Xenopus tropicalis: one gene and its partners. Each later gene encodes a partner of the first gene's protein in a complex. Links are inferred from orthologs where the notes say so. Each region holds a gene or a part of one and is shown in the gene's direction. Other genes may lie near its edges. The genes, in order: sf3b2, sf3b4 and sf3b1.

What was found.
Region 2: sf3b2 (region 1) and sf3b4 share a complex: the UniProt entries of both Homo sapiens proteins name them as parts of the SF3B subcomplex of the 17S U2 SnRNP complex. The link is inferred for Xenopus tropicalis from reciprocal best matches to the Homo sapiens genes SF3B2 and SF3B4.
Region 3: sf3b2 (region 1) and sf3b1 share a complex: the UniProt entries of both Homo sapiens proteins name them as parts of the SF3B subcomplex of the 17S U2 SnRNP complex. The link is inferred for Xenopus tropicalis from reciprocal best matches to the Homo sapiens genes SF3B2 and SF3B1.

The regions. Positions count from the first base shown.
Region 1 is NC_030680.2:40,091,536-40,097,481, reverse strand, and holds part of sf3b2 (splicing factor 3B subunit 2), read left to right. Parts: intron 1-3,580; coding exon 3,581-3,618; intron 3,619-4,402; coding exon 4,403-4,450; intron 4,451-4,624; coding exon 4,625-4,774; intron 4,775-5,450; coding exon 5,451-5,505; intron 5,506-5,747; coding exon 5,748-5,839; intron 5,840-5,946. UniProt on the Homo sapiens protein: Component of the 17S U2 SnRNP complex of the spliceosome, a large ribonucleoprotein complex that removes introns from transcribed pre-mRNAs.
Region 2 is NC_030684.2:128,886,000-128,892,019, reverse strand, and holds the start of sf3b4 (splicing factor 3B subunit 4), read left to right. Parts: upstream 1-1,592; 5' UTR 1,593-1,628; coding exon 1,629-1,662; intron 1,663-3,946; coding exon 3,947-4,075; intron 4,076-5,129; coding exon 5,130-5,666; intron 5,667-6,020. UniProt on the Homo sapiens protein: Component of the 17S U2 SnRNP complex of the spliceosome, a large ribonucleoprotein complex that removes introns from transcribed pre-mRNAs.
Region 3 is NC_030685.2:45,851,631-45,857,576, reverse strand, and holds the end of sf3b1 (splicing factor 3B subunit 1), read left to right. Parts: intron 1-1,139; coding exon 1,140-1,271; intron 1,272-1,864; coding exon 1,865-2,137; intron 2,138-2,240; coding exon 2,241-2,457; intron 2,458-5,289; coding exon 5,290-5,448; 3' UTR 5,449-5,668; downstream 5,669-5,946. UniProt on the Homo sapiens protein: Component of the 17S U2 SnRNP complex of the spliceosome, a large ribonucleoprotein complex that removes introns from transcribed pre-mRNAs.

The DNA.
Region 1 (5,946 bases):
TGGATTTGTCTGAATCCTGCTGAACAAGGCAGAACCTTGGCCAAATCACAAACCAAATCCTGAATTCAGTGCATCCCTACTAATTGTAGATTACAAGATCAAAATAGCCATTACTAAGGGCTCTGGCACACGGTGAGATTAGTCGCCCACGACAAATCTCCCTGTTCGCGTGTGACTAATCTCACCGGATTGCCATCACCACCGGCGAAAATGGAAATCGCCGGTGGGATGGCATATGCGGCTGCGTGATTTCGCGCAAATCACCGGAAAAGCCTCGCAAGTCTTTTTCGGCGATTTCCCGAAATCGCGCTGCCGCATGTGCCATCCCACCGGTGACTTACATTGTCGCCGGTGGGATGGCAGGTGAAAGCAACTCGGGGAGATTAGTCGCCCGCGAACAGGGAGTTTTGACGCGGGCGACTAATCTCCCCGTGTGCCAGAGCCCTAAGGCATTAATAGAATCTGCATTACAACTTCACCTAGCAGGGCATTCCATTCAAATAAATGCCTGGATGATAAGGTCACTTAAAAGAAAACTATACCCCCAGAATGAATACTTAACCAACAGATAGTTTATATTATGTTAAGTGACCTATTAAAGAATCTCGCCAAACAAATAATATAGAGAAAATAAATATTGCCCTTTTACATCTTTTCCCTTGATCCACCATTTAGTAATGGGCTGTGTGCTGCCTCAGAGATCACATGACCAGGAAGAAGTATAGACGCAAAAGGCAGAACTATGTCTATTAGTTGGCTTATGGGGCCTAGCATGTATGTGTTGGCTTGTTTGTGTGCACTCTGAATCCTGTGTTTGCAGGAGACGACTCTTTATTCTTAAAATGGCAATTTTCTATTTCGGAGTACCCAGTAGCCCATACTACTAAAAAAGTATATTTATATCAAAAAAGGTTTATTTAGATGAATCAGGGTTTTGCATATGAGCTTGTTTATGCAATATATTTTTATAGAGACCTACATTGTTTGGGGGGTATAGTTTTCCTTTAAAGGACAAGGAAAGGCAAAGTCACTTGGGGTGCCAAAATGTTAGGTTACTGCTCATGCGCCGGTCGTGGGGTCCGGCAAAACGATGCAGGAAGGAGGAAGCGCTTGCTACAGGTACCCCGGGCTGGTGCTGTTTTCTCCTAACAGGGGCACCAGCCCGGGGTACAAGGTAAGCGATTAAAGCCACTTGGGGGTGCCTAACATTTTAGCACCCCTGAGTGACTTAGCCTTTCCTTGTCCTTTAAGCTGGCCGGCTTGAGCAGGCTGATTAGTAAATACAGATTACAGCATGGCAGCTCTAAAACCAGTGCAATTAGTATCAGAAGAATTGTCTTGGGGTCACGTACACGGACGGATAATTGTCAGCAGCTTTTGTCGGCTTGTGTATAGCCAGCTTTAGAAATTTGCAGAGATTTGTACTGCAGCCTGCACAGGTATCTCATTGAAGGTTTCTATACATCTAATCTACCCACATTTTGTTGAAGGCTCAAAGTCTGCGCCCTTGTGTCTGCCAGGTTGTATAAAAACCAGTACAGCCCCATGATAGGCATATACCCTAAAGAGATGGAGTTACCAGCCTTTTAGGTTGATGTATAAACTATTTCACACATCAGGGTGAATTGCTAATTAGCCATGCAGCATGCACATCTGGCTTTAAATGAAAGAATTGACCCCCTTACATAATGCACAAATACTAGCATTCCCCTATATCAGTGCTGTCCAACTTCTACGGTGCCGAGGGCCGGAATTTCTCTAGCATACATGGTGGAGGGCCGCTAATTGTAGCCAGTTTTGACCACTCCCCTTTTTGAAACCACACCCACTTCAAACCACACCTATTTTATCACAATGGTGGTAGCACAGCAAAATCCCAAATGCTTGGTCCTTACTGTGGGGATATCAACCATCATTCATATGTGAAAGAATTATGTCATATTAAGATATACCCTTAAATTCCATATGCCTCCTCCTCCCCTGTGGATAGCAGAGCAACCCCCAGTACATAATTACACACCTTAGGAACGATTTAATGGCTATTTCCAACTGCTAACAAACTCCCACAACAAACCCCTGCCAGGTTCACCTCCCACAAGCAGCATAGGGCAAGCAGAGTATGGCACACACAGGCAGCACTCTGCCTGTCCTATGCTTTCTGTGTGTGCCATACCCTGCCTGTGTGTGCCATACTCTGCCTTCCCTATGCTGCCTCTGTGTGCCATACTCTGCCTGCCCTACCCTGACTGTGTGTGCCATACTCTGCCTGCCCTACCCTGACTGTGTGTGCCATACTCTGCCTGCCCTACCCTGACTGTGTGTGCCGTACTCTGCCTGCCCTACCCTGACTGTGTGTGCCATACTCTGCCTGCCCTACCCTGACTGTGTGTGCCATACTCTGCCTGCCCTACCCTTCCTGTGTGTGCCATTTCCTGCCTGCCCTACCCTGACTGTGTGTGCCATACTCTGCCTGCCCTACCCTGACTGTGTGTGCCATACTCTGCCTGCCCTACCCTGCCTGTGTATGCCATACTCTGCCTGCCCTACCGTGACTGTATGTGCCATACTCTACCTGCCCTATGCTGGCTGTATGTGCCATACTCTGCCTACAGTACCTATGTCTGAGGTGTGAAGAAGTAAACAATTGGAGTGATTACAGTCTGAGCCTGAGGTGTGAACACTGCTGGGGGTGAACAATGCAGGTATTAAAAGGTGTGAAAAACACAGGGAACTACATTTTTAAACAATACAGAGGGATTACAGCCTGAATCTGAGGTGAGAACCATGCAGGGGGCCAGTTAATCTCAGTACTGATACCATTTAATGCTTACTCACACAGAGGGGGGTCGCGGGCCGCCAGTTGGACAGCACTGCCCTATATGACAAATTAATTTAACAGGGGTAGGTAGAAATTTGTGCACCATCACATTAGACTATGTGTGTTGCCAGAAAACTACAGCAATTTTTTCATCAGCTGTATTGCTGGTCTCAAACCTGCCTCTATCAAGACCATTCTAGAAACAGGGTGAACTTTTTCCTTAGAATTTTCTTTTCCAAAACCCTGTCCTTTATGAGAGTTGGAATTGAAATCTGATTATGCTTTGTGTAACTCCATATCAGGGCTAGGGGATTTTCTTCTAGTTTTCTGTTATTAGTTTAAGTATTTTTATAATGACATTCTTAGGACCAGAGATACACAATGATATAGAACTTAACAACTGGAAAACTGAAAACTTGTTGGCAACATTTCACAGCACCTTTTTGTGATATAAAAGGCAGCAATGACCACATGTTGACTGGCAAGGAGTACAGAAGGGATGCAAAGGTATCATGTGGTAAGGCTGGATATAGAATCAGCCTCTTGTATATTTCCTGAGTGGTTACAGTATACTTTATTAAAAAGAAAGTGTTTGTAAATAATTATTCTCCACAAGGTCTTTTGCTGGAAGGTGTTATTCCTGTGAAGTATTATGAAGGATATTTCCTCCTTAAATTGTAGAGCATAGTACTTTTCAGAAAGTGTATTCTATGTAATATTGAGTTACTAGTACATCTTATTAATAATGTCTCTTTCCCACAGGAAGCAGAGAGGATATTATGGATCTTGCTTCTCCACAGGTAATTTACTGTGTGTTACTATATATTTGTCTGGAATGTCTTACAGTCAATCCTTACCCCTTTTTTTAATTTTCACTTTACAGACTGGTTAACTGACCCAATAACAGGGCATTTATAATCCACTCTGTGTTTGCACTCACAGGCACTAAGTACACCAAGGAGCAAGAGGATAGAGGATCAGTTGATTCTCAGGCAGTGTTTATACACATGAAAAGAATCAGTCCCATGTGGCAATAGCTTTACTAAGAAGTCCCATAACTCCCATACAGTTATGGGCTTTACACACATGGGTGCTAGATTACATTAGTGTAGGTACTGATAGCAACCAGTCATGTCTTTGCTTTCATTTTCAAGTTATTTGCTGATTGTTTGCTGTTGGCAACTGCATTTTTGTGTAATTTAGCAACTATGTTAGTAAATGAGCCTTTAAGTCTTTAGGATCACCAGAACCCAGCTTTTTCTGCTTTGCTTCATTCAAATTTTAAGCAAAAGCTCTCTATGAAATCTCTATGAAAAACCCTTTTCATACGTTTACTTTAGCAAAATCCATTATTTTTCTCATGGGCAAGGCAATCTTCAGTGAGTGGGCATCTTTGATTTTTTGTTTATACTGAGATAGGTATTTGAATGTGCTGGTCAAGTGATTTGAAAATGCTAATATGATTCCTTCCTGTTGAGTAAAGAACCCTATTTGCACAGATCAGTGGGCCAGACATAGTTTCTTTTGCAGATAACCCTGTTTTATATAAAAGCTTTATTGTATCTATGTTTTCTTTTATTTTAGGTTCGAGATGATGCTGAAATATCCTCTACTGCTGTTAGATTGGCACAGGTGGGTGTGCTGGCTAAATTAGGATCAAATAAAACAGTATTTTTACTTTTTATAAACTTTGCCTTCTTGCTTATTGAGTCTTTTTTTTTCTGTTACTCAGTCTACTCTGCCTGACCATACTAATTCTATTTGTCTTATTCACCCTAAATAAGTGCTTTCTTGTCCTTTTTATAGATGGCTGGGATGCCTCTACCCACACTTCAGGCTCCTCCCCCACCTCCTGGTCTCGGAAGAGGTTTTCCAATAGGTTTGCCTCCTCGCATAACTACTGACACTGATGGGGTAAAGCAGTCACAAGGTCCAACTCTTTCACTGCAGCCAAAGGTAAAAATGTATTTCCTGTCCTAAATGATCAGACTCAAAAATGTGTCATTTATTTAAGTATCAGTCTCGCAAATGATTCTGCAAGTCTTTATGTGCAAAACTGAGTGATTTGTTAGCCACAGGGTTCCAGGGATATTTTTATTATGTCAGGTAGTATCACAACACCATACTTAATGAAACCAAATTTTGAAGTCTTTAATACAAATGCTGCTGTGTCCCATTGGAGAGATATAGCAGGGTTGGAGAAGAGAAAAGAACACTGTGACCCCTGGATTTTGGTTCATCTTCATGTGAAGCCCAGGTTTTATATTCAGTACTAGATTTGGTATATTCTCTCTGCTTCCTTACTAGGAGCAAGAGGCAATTAGAGAAAATGTATTTTATGTTCTGACTCGGGGCTATTGAGAAACTGTATGGGAAGTTGTCTTGTACAAGTATAAAGGCTGAGGTGGGGGTATAATTGGGGACATAGCGGATAAATACATAGAGAGGAAAGGATGAATGCATAACTAACACAGAATATAAATTAATGGCTCTAAATAACTCTGGCCCATATGTTTTAGTAAATATTAGTAAGGGGGAAAAAAATTAAAGTTAACTGTCTAAATGGTGTATGTATTGCCTTTTGAAATGTTTCACTTAACACAACCATATATTTACATTGTTGTTCTTCTAGGTGACACTTATCGATCAGGAAGTCTCCACGACACGGTCACCCCTTCTTCCTAGAGGTAAATATTTATATATTTCTACACTAGAATAATTTCTGTCCTCTGGGGGGGAAATTGGTGTACATTCGCAATCAAAAAGTAGGTAAAGCTAGCCTATGATTAAGTGTCAAGTGCACGAAATGAGTAAAGCTATTATGTGGTCTAATTGTCTACAATAAAGCTTCTTTGATTTTTTCTACTCTTGCCTGCTCGTGGGATCTGTGAGTACCTGCTATATGTATTGAAGTATATCTTAATTGTAGGTACCCTCCCCATAAGCTCAATCCCACCATTGATGTCCTCCACAAGCCGCCCTCGAGTCCAATCACAACCTTCTGGAGAGGATTCCAAGGAAGTAAGTCCAAATTTTTGCTAATTTATTTGCTTTTTACGTTTTGTTCATGGCATTGTCTCTTTCCATTTTCCTCAGTTTTCCTCTTTTGTTTATTATTTTATGTGCTG
Region 2 (6,020 bases), on another chromosome or scaffold:
ACCCACTCCAAAACCCCTGTGCAGACACAGCAATGAATCCTCCTCCGCTGCTCCGTTGGGTACAGCACTTTATATAATGTGAGGAGTTAAACTATGTTGCAGTGCCATCTTGCAAGTCATGCATAATGGCGTGGCAAGATCAAGACATTTGCCAATCCTGATTGGTGGGTAGGGGGCAGCAAATCAGTACTGTCCCACAAAAATCAGTAGTTATAACCCATATACTGGGCAAAATCAAACTGATCAGATGGTTATGATCCAACAACTGTATCACAACCTAGGACTATGGGACAATGTTGTCAAAGCTGCCAGCTTATACTGGGGAGGCCAACCAAACTGTCATCTTACATTGTCCTGTGTACAATCAGGATAAAAGAGAATAAAAGCCTGGTTAGTACCTTTGTCCCTTCCTAAACCCCACCAACAGGGACCCCCAAACCTGCTTAGTTGTTGTATCTGGTTAGAAGAAGAAAAGTGCAGGTTTGGCAGCTGCCATCTTGGGCTGCTCTGGCTCCCCTCACTACTGCTCCACCAGTCTGCTTTTTATATCCAGGGGCAACAAACAAGGAGTTTTTGGTACCAAGGCATTCACCAGGCTTTCAGTTACCTTTAACATTAAAGGTTTAAAAATATACATCAGACACAATAGTCAAATCTACTATTTGGCCAATAAGACTTTCTTGTCTCACTAAATTCTCAACCAACAGACATCTCTATGTAAAAGGGGAGGAGCATTGGTCTTTACATGTGACCCTTGTATGTTCCTTTAGGGTGAAGACACACAGAGCTACTAGTAGCAGCTACTTTTTCACAGCTACTAAACGCCAAAAAATCCCCTGCCATAGACAATACTGAGAATTCCCTCTGCTAAGGGCTCTGGCACACGGGGAGATTAGTCGCCCGCGACAAAACTCCCTGTTCGCGGGCGACTAATCTCCCTGAGTTGCCTTCCCCTGCCATCCCATCGGCGACAATGTAAGTCGCCGGTGGGATGGCACACGCGGCGGCGCGATTTCCCGAAATCGCCGAAAAAGATTTGGGAAATCGCGCCGCCGCGTGTGCCATCCCGCCGGCGACTTACATGTTTGCCAGTGGGATGGCGGGTCATGACAACTCGGGGAGATTAGTCGCCCGCGAACAGGGAGTTTTGTCGCGGGCGACTAATCTCCCCGTGTGCCAGAGCCCTAAAACACATTGAGACTGTTATCAGTAAATGATCAGCATTGTCTATTTAAGTAGCGACTACAAGTAGTTGCTACTAGTAGCTCCGTGTGTCTGCACCCTTAGCTCACACCAGGGACCCTTTAATAATCCTTGGTGCCCATAGAAACAATGAAACACCCTCTATGCGCTGACAATACTGGCACATTTACTGTAAAATCTTAAAAAAATATAAAAATAAATAAATAACCCCCTCAGAGTTTACTACACGTTTACTTTTAGCTTTGGGGTTTCATTACAATACAAATATCTCCGCCGGAAAGCATTGACTGCATAAGGCATGTTAATAAAGTTATTCCATCTAAAAAAAAAAAAAAAAAGTGGTTGCGGAAGTAAGCGTTCTGAGGCCGGAAGTAGGGAAGCGGAAACTGAAGCAGCGAGGTGGCTGAGTGGTTGGCGGCGAGAAAATGGCGGCTGGGCCGATATCTGAACGGAACCAGGGTAAGGAACGTACAGACTGCGTATGGGCTGCATGGGGTGATTGGGGCGGAGGGAACTGTTATGCCGGGGGGGCTGGAAGTAGGGGTATCCGGGGTTTACAGGGAACAGTAAGAGCTCAGAGCAGGGGGAGGCGGGCTGCACTGTGTGCATGAGGTGCAGGCTCCATCTCTGTGCAAAAGTCATTTGGACACAAAGCTGTTCTTATAATATCGGCAGCCCGGCCTGTAACTGTACCTGAATCTACACAGAAACATTGATCTGCTTCTTCCCCACCAATACAGTTTATAGTGCTATCCCCATAAACACTGTGTATAATGCACAGAACTAATGCTAAGCAGCCTCCCTATATACATTCATTACACATTTCCAACGTTTATAAAGTTTCTTGCAAAATATAATTGTTAGCGAAAGCCGTCTGTCTTATTATAGTCTACACTGCTGGTTCTGACTTCTGAAACAATGTAACAAAGGCCAGGGCTATTAAACTATGAAATGGTTTCAAGAATAAGAAAGGGGCAGATAGATACTACTTCCAATAGCAATAGCATTTACCTTTGAACCACTGATTTTTTTTATTACCGTATATACTCGAGTATAAGCCGATCCGAATATAAGCCGAGGTACCTAATTTTACCTAAGAAAACTGGAAAAACTTATTGACTTGAGTATAAGCCGACCAGTTACATGGGAGTAGGAGAAACAATAGGTTACCTCAAAGCTGTTCTATCTCATGGTGGCGATTTGGGACATCAGTGCCCGACAAGACAAGGATGAGACACCCACAGAATGGCCACCCAGCACCCTGCTATATTTCAATGAGACCCAAAGCAACTCCCGGTGTGCAAGTGAAGCAGCGGTACCTTGCGGTGTGCCCTGTCAGCAGCGCCAGAGGATCCGTAAGCCCAGCATTTACGCTGCTCTTTAAATAAGCGGCGGCGCTCCTCTTAATTCCAACCTGTGTGTCTGCAAGGAGCCGTCATGTAATCGCCTCGCCAGCTGCCGTGTGACAAGGGTTAAAGAAACAGAGCGCTCTCGGCACAATTATTGCAATAAGCAGCACACCCGACAGCAACAAGACACCACGGTCCGGGAGTTTGGCGCTGTTTGGCCGGTCCTTAGAGTTGCGGGACAACCTCAATAAAGTCCGCGAACGGGTCCTTCGCTATCTGGCGGTAGTCCGAGCGCTATCTTCCGCTACGTCACAGGTGTGCAGGCAGGTTCGCATGCAACGAGCAGCTGCGAAACCATTTACCGTATATATACGCGAGTATATGCGCGAGTATAAGCCGAGGGTTCCTTTTTCAGCACATTTTTAGTGCTGAAAAACTCGGCTTATACTCGAGTATATACGGTATATATATATGTTGGAAAGTTGATGAAAACTTTCTCTCGTTATCTTTCGGGTTTATAGGTGGATATCTCCAGGGTTGTAAAGGGAAAGCTAAACCCTGTAGCAAGGAGAGTTTGTATTACAAGGATTAAAGGAACAGTAACACCAAAAAATGAAAGTGTATAAGGGCTCTGGAACACGAGGAGATTTGTCGCCGGCGATTTTTAAAAGAGCGATTTGGCGACAAGACACCAATGCTAAATCAATGGAAATTGCCAGCGTCAAAACATACGAGGCTACTTCAGATCGCCTGCTGTTTCAAGTCGCACACAGACCCTTTTCTGAGCGACTTGAGGGGGGTTAACTGTTGAGTGTACCATGGGTAGCAGATCGCCTGGAGCTCAACTCGCATGAAATCTCTTTGAGGGTATTCTCGTGGCGACTTGTCGCCAAAGCGCCAGGGGGAAAAAACGCAGACGACAAATCTCCTCGTGTGCCAGAGCCCTAAAAGTAACTAAAATATAATGTGCTGCTGCCCTGCACTGGTAAAAGCTGTGTGTTTGCTTCAGAAAGTCTACTATAATTTATATAAATAAGCTGCTATGTAGCCATGGGGGCAGCCATTCAAAGGAGAAAAGGCACAGGCACATAGCAGATAACAGATAAAACACTATTGTATTCTACAGAACTTATCTGTTATCTGCTATGTAACCTGTGCCTTTTCTCCTCTTTTCCAGCTTGAATGGCTGCCCCTGTGGCTACACAGCAGCTTATCATATAAATTATAGTAGTGTTACTGTAGCAAACACACCAGTTTTACCAGTTCAGGGCAACAGTGCCTCGGATCTATGATCTGTGCATTTATTCAGAGTGTAACGGGGATATTTAAAGAGAAGGTGGAATAGCTGATTTGCCGTGTACTATAACTTTTTTTTTTTTTCTTTTTGGATTTAGATGCCACAGTGTATGTCGGAGGCCTGGATGAAAAGGTGTCTGAGCCTCTTCTATGGGAGCTCTTCTTGCAAGCAGGGCCTGTAGTGAATACACACATGCCCAAAGACAGGGTCACGGGGCAGCATCAAGGTAAGATTGGCACCTCTTAACCATTATTTCTTATAGCTGTGTATAGGCAGGAATGGAGGGGAATGCTGTGGAGAAGTTGTTGCAATTTGTAACAAGAATGTTTTAGTCCCTCCTCCCCTGCCAGGATTTCAAATGATGCAGAAAGAGAAGAACTGTTTTGCAGCTGGATTTCAGCATATAAAAATGGTATTTATTCATGCTTTTTGAAGGAACAGATTACAGGGTATTTTGGGGGTTTCTGTGTGCGGGAAGCAATAGTTTCCACATCGTTTGATCATGGTTAAAGCAACATATCTACTTGGTCACTGTCTCTTCCCATTTGCCTGAATGGGGAAACACCACAGGTGTCCTGGTGAAAATGTGTGCTGGATCCAAAAGCATCAGGGTGAAGACACACAGAGCTACTAAGTAGCAGCTACTTTTTCAAGGCTACTAAACCCCAGAAAATCCCATGCCATAGACAACTGAGAATTGCCCCTGCTAAAACACACGTAGAGACAATTATCAGTAAATGACCAGCACTGTCTTTTTTTTTTTTTTAGTAGCCACAACAAGTAGCTGCTATTAGTAGTTCCATGTGTGTTCAACCTTAAGGCTGAAGACACACAGAGCTACTAGTAGCAGCTACTTGTAGCAGCTACTTGTCACAGCTACGGGAATAGACAATGCTGATCATTTGCTGATAATTGTCTCCGTGTGTTTTAGCAGAGGCAATTCTCACTATTGTCTGGCAGGGGATTTTCTGGCATTTAGTAGCCTTGAAAAAGTAGCTCTGTGTGTCTTCACCCTAAGTGTACATGCTTTGCATCTCACAGCAATAGTGCTTTTATGTTGTCCTTCCTTCCACCCCCAGGATCATACATCTTTGTTACTGTTAGTTGATAACATTGCTACAATATCATATGTGGCTTTGCTGAAAACAAAGGAATCATTCCTTTTTAATGGCGGGGTGGGTCATCAATTTCTAGCTATGGAAGCTGCCATGTTGCACTCCGTGCTGAGTATATGTATAGATAACAGACAGGTGATACAGTCTCTGATGGTTTGTTTCCAGGTTATGGCTTTGTGGAATTTCTGAGTGAGGAGGATGCCGACTACGCCATAAAGATTATGAACATGATAAAGCTCTATGGGAAACCCATTAGAGTAAATAAAGCCTCGGCGCACAACAAAAACCTGGATGTCGGCGCCAACATCTTCATTGGAAACTTGGACCCAGAGATTGATGAGAAGTTGCTTTATGACACCTTCAGCGCTTTTGGTGTAATCTTGCAGACCCCCAAGATCATGAGAGACCCAGACACCGGCAACTCCAAAGGTTATGCCTTCATCAACTTTGCCAGTTTTGATGCTTCGGACGCAGCCATTGAGGCCATGAACGGACAGTACCTGTGCAACAGGCCCATCACCGTCTCCTATGCTTTCAAGAAGGACTCCAAAGGAGAGCGGCATGGGTCGGCCGCAGAGAGACTGCTGGCTGCCCAAAACCCACTTTCACAGGCTGACCGGCCTCACCAGCTTTTCGCCGATGCCCCTCCACCTCCGTCTGTACCAGCTGTCATTACATCATTAACAAGTGCAGTTGCTGCAGGTGGGTATTTTTGCTTTTCAGCTGGCATTAAAGCAGGGACTGGTTGTGGGGCTGAAAGTGCCAGAAGTTGGGAGTTGTAGTTTTGTTACAACAGCAATGTTGAATGTTGACTTTTTTTTTTAATAAGATAGATGTCTGGCAAATCATCTGATCTCCCTGAAAGTTTGCAGGGGTTTTGGCCTTATGATCTTAAGTATGTACTGAATTAAGGGTTTTACTAAGTGAAGGATGTTATCTATCATGGAGAGTGTTAACCTTCTGGCTTTGTGTGCCTTAGTTAGACAGGCCAGCTTTGTTTTCTACAGGAATGAAACACAATGAATATTCTAGATATGTCTTGAAGGCAAAGCTAGC
Region 3 (5,946 bases), on another chromosome or scaffold:
CCTTGAACGAAGTGGCAGGCTGAATCCTATAGGTAGGTTTGGAAGTAGGAAAGAATAAATTTTTTTGGAGTTGGTATCACTTTAAATATCTTACTGTCCCTTATATATTGTTATGGGTGAGTACCGAGGATTTGTAATTTTCGTCAATTTCCATCAGCCCCCAACAACCTTATGCATTTTGTGGGAATTGAGGAGGGGTGGTTCAATAGCAACGCAGGTATTAATGAGTGATTCCTTCTCCAGGTGATTTATGCTGTTAAGCCTGTGGGAGGCAGTAGGGGAGAGCCTGGCATCTCGCATACTCATTCCTTGCACGTATTTGTTCAGTAAGATTGATAGATCCTAATTTTATTGGAATTTATTTTGATTATTGAAACTTGGCAGTAGCTGCTGCATTTTCCACCCTAGGCTTATACTCGAGTCAATAGGTTTTTCCAGTTTTCTTAGGCAAAATTAAGTACCTCGGCTTATATTTGGATCAGCTTATACTCGAGTATACACGTAACTACTTTTTAGTTTAATCTCCAGGGTACACCTCCTTTTTTTTAAATAAAGTAGCAAGCATGAAATCAATTTATTAAAGCTCAAATAAGGGTATTACACGGTATAATAAAAATGAAAAAAGGTTTGATGGCATTATTGCTTTAGGACTGTGATCCCCAACCCGTGTCTCATGAGCAACGTGTTGCTCACCACCCCTTTTGATTTTGCTCCGTGTCTTCAAATACATTTCTGGGTTGGAGGCAAGTTTTGGAAGCACAGACAATTTTAGTCCAAGAACTTCCTGCATGAGGCTACCAAATAGCCAATCAAAGCATCCTCAGGGATCTTTTTCATGCTTCTGTGGTTTACCAACATTTTTTTACAACTTATTGACCCAATTGAATTGATATTGAATCCAGGACAGGGGCACATAACAGGGCTGAGTACGGTAAGGAGAAGAAAAAAGCAAAGTCAAGGATTGACCAAATATCAGGGCAGGAAAAGTTTTAAGTGAAGAATAGGCAAGATGACAAAAACAACTAGAACCATCAAATTGGCCACAAAGTGATCAGAAGTGCTAGTTATTGTAGCCTGCAAATTTCTAACTCTGAGCTTATGAAAATGACCTTAACATTTTGTTATGATGATATTTTCAGAGGAGCTGAATATGTGTCTGCAAGGGAATGGATGAGGATTTGTTTCGAGTTACTGGAACTGCTAAAGGCACATAAGAAGGCAATTAGAAGAGCAACTGTCAATACCTTTGGCTATATTGCAAAAGCTATTGGGTAAGTATATATGGTTTCTCAGATGTTTAACCTATTGAACAAAATATGATAGTGTCACATTTATTTAACTTGTTCAGAAATGTTGACTACAAATTTATAGAAATAAAATGTTATACAAAACAGGACTGTTGCTTTTAACATTATTTTTTCATGTGCCTTAAAATGAAAATAAAGAATTAAGGGCTTTTGCAGCCTAATGAAAAATTGTAGAGTGTGTGGGGAAAAATTACACATGGCTGTAAAAGCATGCAATACAGGATTTACAGCTGTTTTTAGGACTGTATAAGCAATTGCATTCATTTCTGTGGCAGTCTTGTCACAGCAGCAACAATCCTATGGCACAACTTGGTGCCCAGGGTTCTTGCACAGCATTTACATGTGCTTCAGGTAAGGCTCAGAGATGGTGCTTTGTGTATAGCAACACTAGTACTTAAAGCGCTATTTACTAACACCACACATTTTATGTTTTGTGCTTAAAGTATAATAATAAATATAGCATAATAAAATGCTACAACTGACTTTCACTTTGTGTGCAGGCATCTTAATTCAGGTTGCCTTTCATTTTTTGTGTTAAACATTTTTTTCTCTTTTAGGCCTCATGATGTTCTTGCCACACTTCTTAATAATTTAAAGGTGCAAGAGAGACAAAACAGAGTATGCACCACAGTAGCAATAGCTATTGTTGCAGAAACCTGCTCACCATTTACAGTTTTACCAGCACTAATGAATGAATATAGAGTACCAGAACTCAATGTTCAAAATGGTGTGTTAAAATCCCTCTCTTTCCTTTTCGAATACATTGGAGAAATGGGAAAGGATTATATTTATGCTGTAACACCATTGCTGGAAGATGCTTTAATGGACAGGTAAATAAATTCTTTAATGGGAAGGGGGAGATAATTTTTTTTTTTATTGTCCCTAATATTTTGTTTTTTTTTTTCTTCACCCCCACCCTATTTTACTTTTCAGAGATCTTGTACACCGACAGACTGCTAGTGCAGTTGTTCAGCATATGTCACTAGGCGTGTATGGATTTGGATGTGAAGATTCTTTGAACCATTTGCTGAACTATGTTTGGCCAAATGTGTTTGAAACTTCCCCTCATGTCATCCAGGCTGTTATGGGTGCACTTGAAGGCCTACGGGTTGCAATTGGGCCTTGTAGAATGTTGCAGTATTGCTTACAGGTATGTTTGTTTTTTTCCCTTACAAATTCATGTATTTTTATATTACAGATAAACATTTTGTTCTAAGAACATGTATTGCTGTTTAAAATGTATTATAAAGCCATTGTGATGGTAAGATTTTAGTAGTTTGTGGTTTGTTTGTTTGTTTTTTGTTTTTGTTTTTTTATAGTAGTTAATGATTTTAGAGGATGTAACCTTCTTGGGGCACAGAGCCATACGTTGCTATTCATCAGGATGTATACTCCACCCTCCCATACTAGTGCCTACCTACCTAGAAGTTTAAATATCCTGCTTCTTTTTATCCTGAGGATGTAGTTTAACTAATTACTTATTACTAAAGAAATTCCTAAAAATATATTTTTTGGAGTTAGATATGTTAATTGAATGAAATCAAATAAATCAGTAGGTGTTAGGTGATTATTATATAATTTTATTCTTAAAGTTTGAAATACAGTATTTGTGATGAAACAGTACAGCAAATTATTGACGTCAGTAAGTAGAAAAGTAAATCAAGTGGAGGGTCACCAGATAATAAACACACTCAATTTCCTGTTTTTCTTTTTCTGGGTGTAATAAGAAGGGTGCTTAGCCACAGCTGTGGGCTCTTACATTTTACCCTAATACTTACTGTTAGAGTATTTTCTAAATGCCCACAAACTGCAGGGGGTAGAATTTAAAGGTGCACTTGTACCTTGGACATTGAATTATTGTTTCCATGAGCTTCATCTTTAACAATGCACTCTTAATCTTGTAGTAGTTTTTAGTGTGCCTAGAGAGTAATGACTGTCTGCAGTCACTGGATACATAACCAGTACTTGGACCAAATTTATCTGAGGCTTTCACTAATAAGCATGGTGTTGGCCAGATACATGGAGCAAATTTTAGCATATAACCGTATGCATTTTTGTACTGATATCTGATTTGTGTGTATGCACACAGGTCCAAGGCATAGTCCCTGTGCTCTTAGCCTTAGGGAAATATCAGATGAGTCACTTTTTGCCCATAGGATATCTCACCAATAACTGTTAACCAATCACCCAAGGTAACATTTGAGTTACTCCCTATGTGAATCTCCGTGGTCCATAACCTATACTGCCTCTGTTTTACACTTTTTTTTTTTTTTGCCTGTTTCCTCACCCAGCATGTGCTATTAGCAAAGCAGCGGTAGCACCATATAAATATTGAAGTGCTATCAAGTTATTTTGTTAACTGCCCATTATTCAGTTGATCAGCTGCAGAACATAAGCTTAGACCATGAGTGCAAAGCACTTTTCCTTAGAATGTATAGCTTTGCTTGATAAAGAGAACTGATGCCACTAAGACTCCATCTACAAGAAATAAACATATTTAATCTAGGCAAACACATGTTGGGGCTGCTGGACTTGACTGCAAGACATGTAGATCAGCAATCATTAATAAGCAAAAGTTCTGGCTAGTCTTATAACCTTGCAGCAGTTCCATACAGGGTTAGGACCATTCTTTGGTAGATTGACTTGTGGGTTTAGGGTCATTGCCTTGTTGCATTAACCCACATTCTCTTGAGCTTCAGTTGATGGCTAGAAACCAATATTTTCCTGCAGATTTTGCAGATACAATTTAGAAATGATAGTTTCATCAATGATGGTTGGCCATCCTGGTCCAGAGACAGAAACAGACCCAAAACATGAAACTGCCACAACCTTGGCTAACAGATGGGATACAGTTCTTGTGCTAGAATGCAGAGGTTTGCACCAAACAAAACTATTCATTTAAACTAATTTTGGTCCCATCTGGTCACAGACCATTCTTTCAATACCCGTCTACCCTCCCAGGTCTCACACACAGTTGGCTCCACTTCTATCACGCTGAATTCTGTAGGCAGGCGGGGAATAGTGGATCCACTCTCATAGAACCTGTACTTGTCAGTGCAGCTGCCCAAGTTAGTTACACGGAGCAGAGCAGGGATCAGCCCTAAAATTCCTGTCAGTGCAGCTATACCCGGCTATGGAATGTAGATACACTTCTTAGCCTGCCTACAAAAAACAGACTGAAAGAAGCAGAGCCAATGCTGTTGGTGACCAGCGCCTTAGAAATACATTCCATCAAAAGGAGAGTGACTGTCCAGTGTTTTATTTGTATGTTCAGTTGAGTGCTTTTTTTGGCATGCATCAATCACTTTGTATTTAATTCTGACTCTTAAAACTGTAACAGGAGTCAGTTCTTCTCAGGGTCTTTTAATCAACTGGCAGCATTGTCTCAGAAGACAGAGCCAGGATTGCAGAGTACGTAGACAGGCAGATACTTTTGAACATTAAAAAATGTTTAATGTATTTTGAAAAATAACTTGGATTTTTTTTCCACCTTACAAAATAATTTTGGCGGTGGAACCCTTTAAGTATTCCTTTTAAGCTGTAAAATGACTTGTATAAATATGCTGATTTAGAGCAGTGGAGGCAATCATGTAGCTTCTGTACAGGTCCCTTTTTCAAACCAGGGTTCAGTGTAAGTATGATTCATAACAAAACATTGCTTCAAAACAATACCGTTTTTTTAAAAATGATAAAACTTGTGCAGAAGTAGTGGTCTTTATAGGAGTCATTGGGGACCTGTGTGCCCTGCCTTCCATGTATTTAATAAATACAGTACTACCAGTGCATATTTAAAAATGAGTTGTACATATCTTTCCTCTTGACATTTATTTAAAACCTTTTTTTAGCTAACCTTTTAGTTTCTGCAAGACTAACATTAGTATAAAACACTTTGTAAATTAAAATGATTGTTTGGTCTCTTTAAAACTGATACCTGCATGTTGTGTCCACACCTTTATTTTTTGTTCTTTGTTTTTTCTCCTAGGGCCTCTTTCATCCAGCCAGGAAAGTGAGGGATGTATACTGGAAAATATACAATTCAATATATATTGGCTCACAAGATGCCCTCATTGCTCATTATCCTCGTATATACAATGATGAAAAGAACACCTACATTCGCTATGAGCTTGACTATATTTTGTAAAATATTTACCATCGTTCACTTAATTGTTCTGCATATTATGTGAAACATAAGTAATACACACAGTTCTGCAGCATGATTTTTAGGAGAGCCTGTTTTGGTGTAATCTGTTTAGAAGTGACTAGGAAAGTTTGGCTATTTTTGATCCAAAATCTGATACAAATGCCATTCATTTATCTTTGAAGATGTGTATTTGTGAAATAAACATTTTATGTATAAAAAATGTAATGCTTTGTTCCTTTATGTGAAGTTAAATTTAGCTGAAAAAAACAATCCATCTATTTCAGCCCTTCTAGTGTTCCACAGTAATTGTATTTTGTGTAATGTTTATGAAAACTCTAAAGTGGCAACATCCTGCATTTTTTGCAAAATCATTAGCAAAAATAGACAGTACCATTACTAACCTTAAAGGACATGTAAAGCCTACAATGTATATCAGTTGGGCACGTCTACCCCACCCAAATGGTACCATTTGTACTGTATATATCCCCTCTGTTTGCC